Bombyx mori: one gene and its partner. The protein of the gene in region 1 purifies or fractionates together with the protein of each later gene. This does not show direct contact. Links are inferred from orthologs where the notes say so. Each region holds a gene or a part of one and is shown in the gene's direction. Other genes may lie near its edges. The genes, in order: apoptosis-inducing factor 1, mitochondrial; thioredoxin-like protein.

Region 1 (3,827 bases):
ACCATGTATCCGATTGACTCGAAACTTGGTATCCATGTAGGAAAATACATGTACTTAATGGATAGGGTAATATTTATATGAGTGTTGGCCTCCCTACACCAGCTGCGGGGGCGTTAATGATGGGAATCTTTGTGGGGTTGAAAAATAATAATGTTAATTTTAAATGCCCAGCGAAGCGGACTGGTACAGATAGTTTGTCATGTAATTTTTGTTTTATTTCACGATACAATTTTTCCAAAACAGAAGATGCACCAAAAAAGAATGTTGGGCCAGTACGGACACCCATCCCGGCGTCTGCGGATCAGCTCCCGCGACACGTACAGTTCCTGCTGGTCGGTGCTGGTACTGCCTCGTTTGCAGCCATGAGGGCGATACGCAGTCAAAAACCCGACGCCCAGGTAAAAAATATTCGTTATTTAAATTCAAAATTTCAAAACTCGAAGTCGTCGTGGCCTAAAGGATAAGATGTCCGGTGCCATGTTGAGCGATGCAACGGTCGGTGTTAGAATCCCAGGCGGGTATATCCTTATCCTTATCCTTTAGGCCACGACGACTTCTAATGTTTATTCTAATCATTGAAAACACAGGGTGACTAAGGGTCGATTCGACCAAACAAGAGTAAATCTTATTCTTAGAATAACTCGTCAGTTAATCGAGAGTAAATCAATTTTACGTTTTACCAACTACAATTCTAAGAATAGTGGGCCTATTCGGGAATTGTTACTATACCGCCGTTTCGCACGGAATAACGGAGCTATTCCTAGAATAAAGTAATGGCGTCTGTCAGTCCAACATCTGATTTCTGTCATTTCATAAATATTTATTCTGTTTTAATTTCAAGTCAACGCAATGCACTAAATGATTATTAATAGTCTGAATGCAACGTTTAAACGAAAAAAGATAAAACCACACGACAAAACTTGACAATTCCCTCAAACAAACAAGAAATAAAAATAATACGTTTGACAGCTGGATATCTTACACAACAGCTACTTTTTCACACTAAAATACGGCAAAATCGAGTTGACGATTTGTATGCTCTTACACTATGCCGTTGAACAACAACATTTATTTGCCGGATTTTATTTTTGTTCACCATTCACTCTGCTATTCGCTTATTGTTATTCCTAGCGCAACTATACGTGGAAAAACGACTATGAATTTACTCGAGATTAAAATCATGGAATAGGTTATTCCTCGTATAGTTACTCGAGTTTAAATTTAAGTTTGGTCGAATCCGCCCTAAGTGCTAGAATTAGAGTGGTGGAACCTATATAACAGTATGTCTGTGCCGGGTCAGGTGCTGATGGTGGGTTCGGAGTACCAGCTGCCGTACATGCGGCCTCCGCTCACCAAGGAGCTGTGGCGGGAGCCAGACCTGGACAAAGTCACAGACCTCGACTCCTTGACCTTTAAACAGTGGAACGGCAGGGTGAGAAGGTAAGTAAGGTACTTTAATTATTAGATAATGAACTTTGATTTGCTGAAATTAAAAGCGGTCTTTTTTTTAATGCTCTTGTAGGCAGACGAGCATACGGACCGCCTGGTGGTGGGTGGTTACCGTCTTTAGCAATGCTAGGGGTTGAGCCAAACCGCTGCCTACTGTTAAATCTTAACTCGTAAGTGAATGTCTTAAGTGAACATGAGATACAGATATTATTTTCTGTTGATTATATAATCTCTTTTTATTTTTTTCTTCTAATCATATCTAATCATATCTATCATTCTAATCATAATTTCACCATCGTAACATGAACTATTAAATTTTTTGTGAGTCTTTTTTTATTTTATTGCATATATGGGTGGACGAGCTCACAGCCCACCTGGTGTTAAGTGGTTACTGGAGCCCATAGACATCTACAACATAAATGCGCCACCCTCCTTGAGATATCTAAGGTCTCAAGTATAGGTACAGCGGCTGCCCCACCCTTCAAACCGAAACGCATTACTACTTCACGGCAGAAATAGGCAGGGTGGTGGTACCTACCCGCGTGGGCTCACAAAAGGTCCTACCACCAGTAAAGTCTCGCTAGGGCAATTCCAGTTTTGTCGAATTTATTATATTCGGTGCTAGCTGGTGCTGCCGACTCGGTATTGATGGTGGCACGGCACCAGTGGGGGCCGCTAGAGAAAGTGGTAGTTTTCCAATTACAGAGCATAATGCGACTCAGTGGCGCACAATGCCGAATTATGCTGAAGCTTAATTGGAACGTGAATTAGTTTTCAAATGCATCAGCAGAGTGCGCTAAGTTCAGTGTTGAAAAAAAATATTCATGGAGTTTTCAACCTCATTAATGTATAAATAATGTGGTAAACAATAATAATTGGTTCAAAACGATTTACGGTTATTTTAAGTAATTTGGATTTTTATTATTTCATTAAAATTTTTTTGTTGATATCGGCCACTACAGACAACGCTACACCATGCTTACTTTCATTTTCTGGGCCTGAGAAGTACACAGTATGGCCTTTTGGGGTAGTATAAAAGCCCGATCCTCTCATATGTGTTTCCGTAATTCCCAATATTTTCAAGTTGTAGTGTGCTTGCTCTTTGTCTAAGATCTCTCGTTTTCCGGGTTGGAGCATGCCTCGGACATTCCAGGTTCCAATTTTCATCTTCTTGCGAAGTTGTGCTCGTTGATCCGCTGTTCTGTCACCAGTAACATTCTGTCCGCACTGTGCCTGGTGAGCCGCAGCAGGGTGGCCAGTAACATATTTCACACCGTGTGACCTGGACTCGACACGGCGCCGGGTGGTAGCCGGATCGCATACAATCTCATTCTGTACTTGGTCCACTTTCATAGGATTACTTGGGAAAACTAGCGCAGTGGTTTCCCCTTGCCTTCTGCGCCGCAGTGATGTTGGTTGTGGTAGTCAGTACGCCCTGCTGCCAACGACTGACCTCCGGTGTAAAGTATCTATAAATGACCGGAGTCCCCCTCTCCTCCCGTCTGCTTGTCGACCTACGTTTCCAAAGGGATTGGATACCGCAATCTCAACGATAGGTTACTCGACGTAACAGGGTTCACCGCGAGTAGGTGGGAGTGGAGATTGGAGTGGAGAGGCTAGGTGGTTATTCTTGTTATATAACCATATATTACGCATCACACATCCTAGAACCCAACATTAGTCTCAAACTAAAGAGGTGTAAACGAACATCTCTTTCGACGCAGAGGAGGCTCGACCGCGGTGAACTGGCAATTTTCAGGGAACGTTTCGACATCAAATCGGCCAACACTATTATGGACCATAATGACATTGACGAAAACTGGAACAGATTAAAGGCCCTAATCCTATCGTCGCGTAATGATTCCCAGAAGAAATCGGCAGATGCTCCGAGGAAAGAGTGGATAACAGAGGAGACGTGGAAGGCTATCAGAGAGCGAAAGGAACTACTCATAGGCAATGTCGAATCTGCTATTACAGATTACCGCGAAGCCTCGGCAAGAGTTCAACTGCTCTGCCGTAGGGACTATAATGATTACCTTAACTCAATCTGTCAGGATATTGAAGATCATGCGCAGAAGTTTCAAACCCGAGACATATTTTTGAAAATCAAAAACATCACGAGAGAGTTTAAGGCAAAAACATGGGCTATAGAGACTGAGGAGGGCAAGCTATTGAGTGAGATAGATGAGATAACGGAGAGGTGGCGATCGTATTGCGAAAAATTGTATGCCGTTCCTGCAGGACAGGATGGAGAATCCCGAGTGCTAGAAATAAACTACCGGGAACCGGAGATTATAGAATCCGAAATCAGAGGTGCCCTGCATAAACTTAAAACGAATAAGGCAGCTGGTAGAGACGATATTTTCGCTGAGGAATTA
Region 2 (4,610 bases), on another chromosome or scaffold:
AGACCTATCGGACCGACACAAAGCTGGTTATTTGATACGGACATTATTTATTCAGAATATAACCGGTTTTTTTGTTGTGTTTACGTTCACACGGATAATGACTTTGGCAATAGAACGTATTGTTTAAGACGTCGAATTGGAATTTTGGTTAATGTCGTGATTGTGTATTAGTAAATACTAGAGGTCCCGCAGTAGTCGAAATTCGACTATAATTAATTGGAATTGTAAGTTTGTACACTATTATGATTGTATTTTATACTTCTATAATCACAAATTTCGCCAAGACTACACTATAAAAAATATTAACAAAGACAATGTTTAATCTATTCTCAATTTGACAACAGACGCCAAGAACAAAAGTTTGACAATAAATAGTATGCATGCGTGTGTGCGTCAAATACATGGTATGTAGTGTGTGTAATGTTTTCTTTATTGATTAAATGTATCTTTTATGCATTATTTTAAAAATATATTAGCATTGTGCATTTCTTCTCTATATTCTCTATAAGTGTGGGGAATTTCATACTCCTCCGTCCGCGCAATTTTCATAAAAAGGAATACAAAGTTTTTGCTTCACGTATTAATATATAGATATGGCTGCTATTTTATCGTAACATCTGAGCGAGCAGTTCTTATAGTGAAGACGAAAAGCCAAGTCAAACGAACGACCAGACTACAAAATGATTTAATAAATTAATAAACGTATAATTTTTAAAGCATATAGTTAATTTTACAATTAACCTAATATCTTAGTACTCTTTAGTGAATCCCTATTAGTTTTCTTCAGTGGACGAGTTCACGGACCACCTAGTTTTGAGTGATTATCCTGTAATACGTACTTTTATCCACTCACATATTTTCTCCGCGTGTCCTAACGTGCCTCATTTCCACTACAGTCATTGCTCCCATATACGTTAGTGAAAATGAAAAGTTTGAAGTATTCGAAACTTAAAAAACAATATCGAGGGGTGTATCGGGTGAGGGGGTGGTTGTAACCAAAAGATCCGTTTTATTTGGTATTAGTATCAAAAAGTTCGATGTTTTTTAATTGAACTTCAATTAAGCTTACTCCATTCAAATTGCTGAAGTTTTTTTTCGAAATGTTAAATTTTTAAATGGCTCGAAAGTTGCAAAAATGACGCGCTTATACCAAACTAGCGGCCCGTTCCGGCTCCGCTCGGGTCTTTGACAAAGATTTCGATGATATTTGACGTTGTTTTATTTTTTTAAATAAAAGCACACTTATTACGGCATAACTATAATAGTTAGACATATGCTGTCGCGACACTTTTTGTAAATAATAATGTGTTCTACAAAGTCGTAGTATATTATTTTTTTCTATCATCAATAGTTGTCGCAGGGCACGCGATGTAAAGAAAATTTTAGGTAATCTTTTTACTCCTTGGGTTACATTATTGGAGTTTTAGTAAGGATCCCTAATCAAAAAACATTATAGCTTATGTAACTCGGGATTAGTGTAGCTTCCAAACAGTGAAATAATTTTTCAAATCGCTTCAGTAGTTTCGGAGCCTATTCAACACAAACAAACAAATTTTTCCTCTTTATAATATTAGTATAGATAACCCCTTCACATCTCTATATGTAGTTTAAAAAGATCTCGGCTTAACTATATAGTTTTAACGTCGCTTGTCCACAGCCCAAGATGTCCATTCACATCAAAGATTCCGACGACCTGAAGACAAGGCTGGCGGAAGCAGGCGACAAGCTCGTCGTGATCGACTTCATGGCGACCTGGTGCGGACCGTGCAAGATGATCGGGCCTAAACTGGACGAGATCGCCGCCGAAATGTCAGATTCCATCGTCGTTGTGAAGGCGAGTCCTTTTTTTTTCTACCTATCTATTTGCTGGTAGCCTAAGGATCTTATTTCAGCTACGCGCGGACGGGCAGGTGAGCCTCACGGGCACAACTTGAGGAATTTGCTAACAGCCCTAATAAGAACAGTGCTTCGCTGAATCTACCACCGGATCGGAATCGCGACCCACTGATAAGTCGTCGTTTGAAGTCGTGGCCTAAAGGATAAGACGTCCGTACCAATTGTTCTAATGAAATACGTACTCAACAAATGTTCACGATTGACTTCCACGGTGAAGGAATAACATCGTGTAATAAAAATCAAACCCGCAAAATTATAATTTGAGTAATTACTGGTGGTAGGACCTCTTGTGAGTCCGCGCGGGTAGGTACCACCGCCCTGTCTATTTCTGCCGTGAAGCAGTCATGCGTTTCGGTTTGAAGGGTGGAGCAGCCGTTGTAACTATACTGAGACCTTAGAACTTATATCTCAAAGTGGGTGGCGCATTTACGTTGTAGATGTCTATGGGCTCCAGTAACCACTGAACACCAGGTGGGCTGTGAGCTCGTCCACCAATCTAAGCAATAAATTTTTTTTTGCTAAAAGCCCTAATTAGAGCAGTCCTTCGCTAAATCTACCACCGGATCGGAATCGCGACCCATTGAGAAGATCCGGCGAGAAACTCAGCGGCTCAGACTAAGCTAGACTAGATAATAGTATCTTTTTCATTCTAGAGCTCTTACCGAGGACTTGTAAATATTCTAGTTATCTTTATAACCATGCCCGAATCGTAAATTGAAATAAACGGGTGTTCATTAAAAATAAACCTTTTCTTCAAAACACTTGTATGTAAAGCAACGCGTCTTATATCTACATATCATTCTTAATATACTAAAGCCTACGTAATAGTTTATATGTTGTCATTGTGATAGCATTCACGCTATCTAACTCGGTAACAAATCTCAAAAACAATTATTATACGAAAGTTAAGATGATTTCTATTTCAATAATTTCAATAATATCTTGAACACAACTGACGACAACTGAGAAATTTGAAAGACCTCTAACTTAATCAAGTCTAAAAGGATTTACCTACAAATTCACCTCACTGGTGGTAGGACCTCTTGAGAGTCCGCGCGGGTAGGTACCACCTCCCCGCCTATTTCTGCCGTGAAGCAGTAATGCGTTTCGGTTTGAAGGGTGGGGCAGCCGTTGTAACTATACTTGAGACCTTAGAACTTATATCTCAAGGTGGGTGGCGCATTTACGTTGTGGATGTCTATGGGCTCCAGTAACCACTTAACATCAGATGGGCTGCGAGCTCGTCCACTCAACTAAGCAATAAAAATAATAATAATTGGATTGTCGAATTTAAAAATCTTCGTACAATACTTGTGTGCGATGCTGTCAATAATTTAAATCAAAATATTTTAAATCGGCAACTGCTTGCTTTGATATTACATAGTTTATATATATATAAAAATAAAATGTTTCTAAAAAAAAACCCAGCAATAAATGTTATCAGAATTGTAATGTTCACTTAAACGTTATCAATAATGCCGCGATAATTTAGTAAGATTGTAAATATAGTTTGGTTGTTATCACGAAAACGTCGATTGCACGCGACCGCATGAGAATCACTACAATATGTAACTTAAGAAATAAACTTATTTGTCGAAGTACATTCAATTAACATTATTAACAGTTTCGTATCTTTGAAAGTCGTCGTGGCCTAAAGGATAAGACGTCCGGTGCATTCGTATGTAGCGATGCACCGATGTTCGAATCCCGCAGGCGGGTACCAATTTTTCTAATGAAATACGTACTCAACAAATGTTCACGATTGACTTCCACGGTGAAGGAATAACATCGTGTAATAAAAATCAAACCCGCAAAATTATAATTTGCATAATCACTGGTGTTAGGACCTCTTGTGAGTCCGCACGGGTAGGTACCACCGCCCCGCCTATTTCTGCCGTGAAGCAGTAATGCGCTTCGGTTTGAAGGGTGGGGTAGCCGTTGTAACTATACTGAGACCTTATAATAATAATAATAAAATAAAAATAATAAAAATCATTTATTGCCTTTCACATCACAGAAAATAAAATGAAATACAAATAAAAGAAAAGAAAAAAAAGAGAAAAAGGCAAAAGGAGGTGGCTCAGCTATTGCTGTTCGAGGTTGATAAATCGAACAGCGCTGATTTTCAGTCACCCCCGTTTCCCCTTGGTTCTTTGCGGGAATGAAGGCTAATTACGTGTGTACATACTTAGAATATGGTATAAATTAGTAAAACTAGTAAATTATAAAAATTTAAGAAAAAAACAAAACAAAAATCAAATTAAATATTGAACCCGAATACATACATATATAACATAATAAGCACACAGTAACAACACCCCGTAGGCAGCCCACAACGAAACAACAAATAAAATAAAATAAAGCACGATAATACTATTACTAATACTGACAAGCAGCACAACATTTACACTTGTACATAAAAAATAAATAAAAATAACTTTAATAAAAGGAGGTTTTCAAAAGCAAGGATAAAACTAGTTCCTATAAATACTATAAATTAAATTAGTTTTTGTGAATCCAATAGAAATGATTTAGAACTTATATCTCAAGGTGGGTGGCGCATTTGCGTTGTAGATGTCTATGGGCTCCAGTAACCACCTAACACCAGGTGGGCTGTGAGCTCGTCGACCCATCTCAGCAATAAAAAAAAATATGTAGAAGTATGTAGAAATTAATCAGAATCTTTAGAAAAGTTTCTCGGGTTCTTCTAAAAA

What was found.
Region 2: the proteins of apoptosis-inducing factor 1, mitochondrial (region 1) and thioredoxin-like protein purify together in Homo sapiens (affinity purification with mass spectrometry; 3 studies listed by BioGRID and IntAct, with this or other methods). This does not show direct contact. The link is inferred for Bombyx mori from reciprocal best matches to the Homo sapiens genes AIFM1 and TXN.

Annotation. Positions count from the first base shown.
Region 1 is NC_085120.1:1,553,695-1,557,521, reverse strand, and holds part of apoptosis-inducing factor 1, mitochondrial, read left to right. Parts: intron 1-243; coding exon 244-398; intron 399-1,300; coding exon 1,301-1,440; intron 1,441-3,827. UniProt on the Homo sapiens protein: Functions both as NADH oxidoreductase and as regulator of apoptosis.
Region 2 is NC_085130.1:3,052,021-3,056,630, reverse strand, and holds the start of thioredoxin-like protein, read left to right. Parts: upstream 1-1,663; coding exon 1,664-1,834; intron 1,835-4,610. UniProt on the Homo sapiens protein: Participates in various redox reactions through the reversible oxidation of its active center dithiol to a disulfide and catalyzes dithiol-disulfide exchange reactions.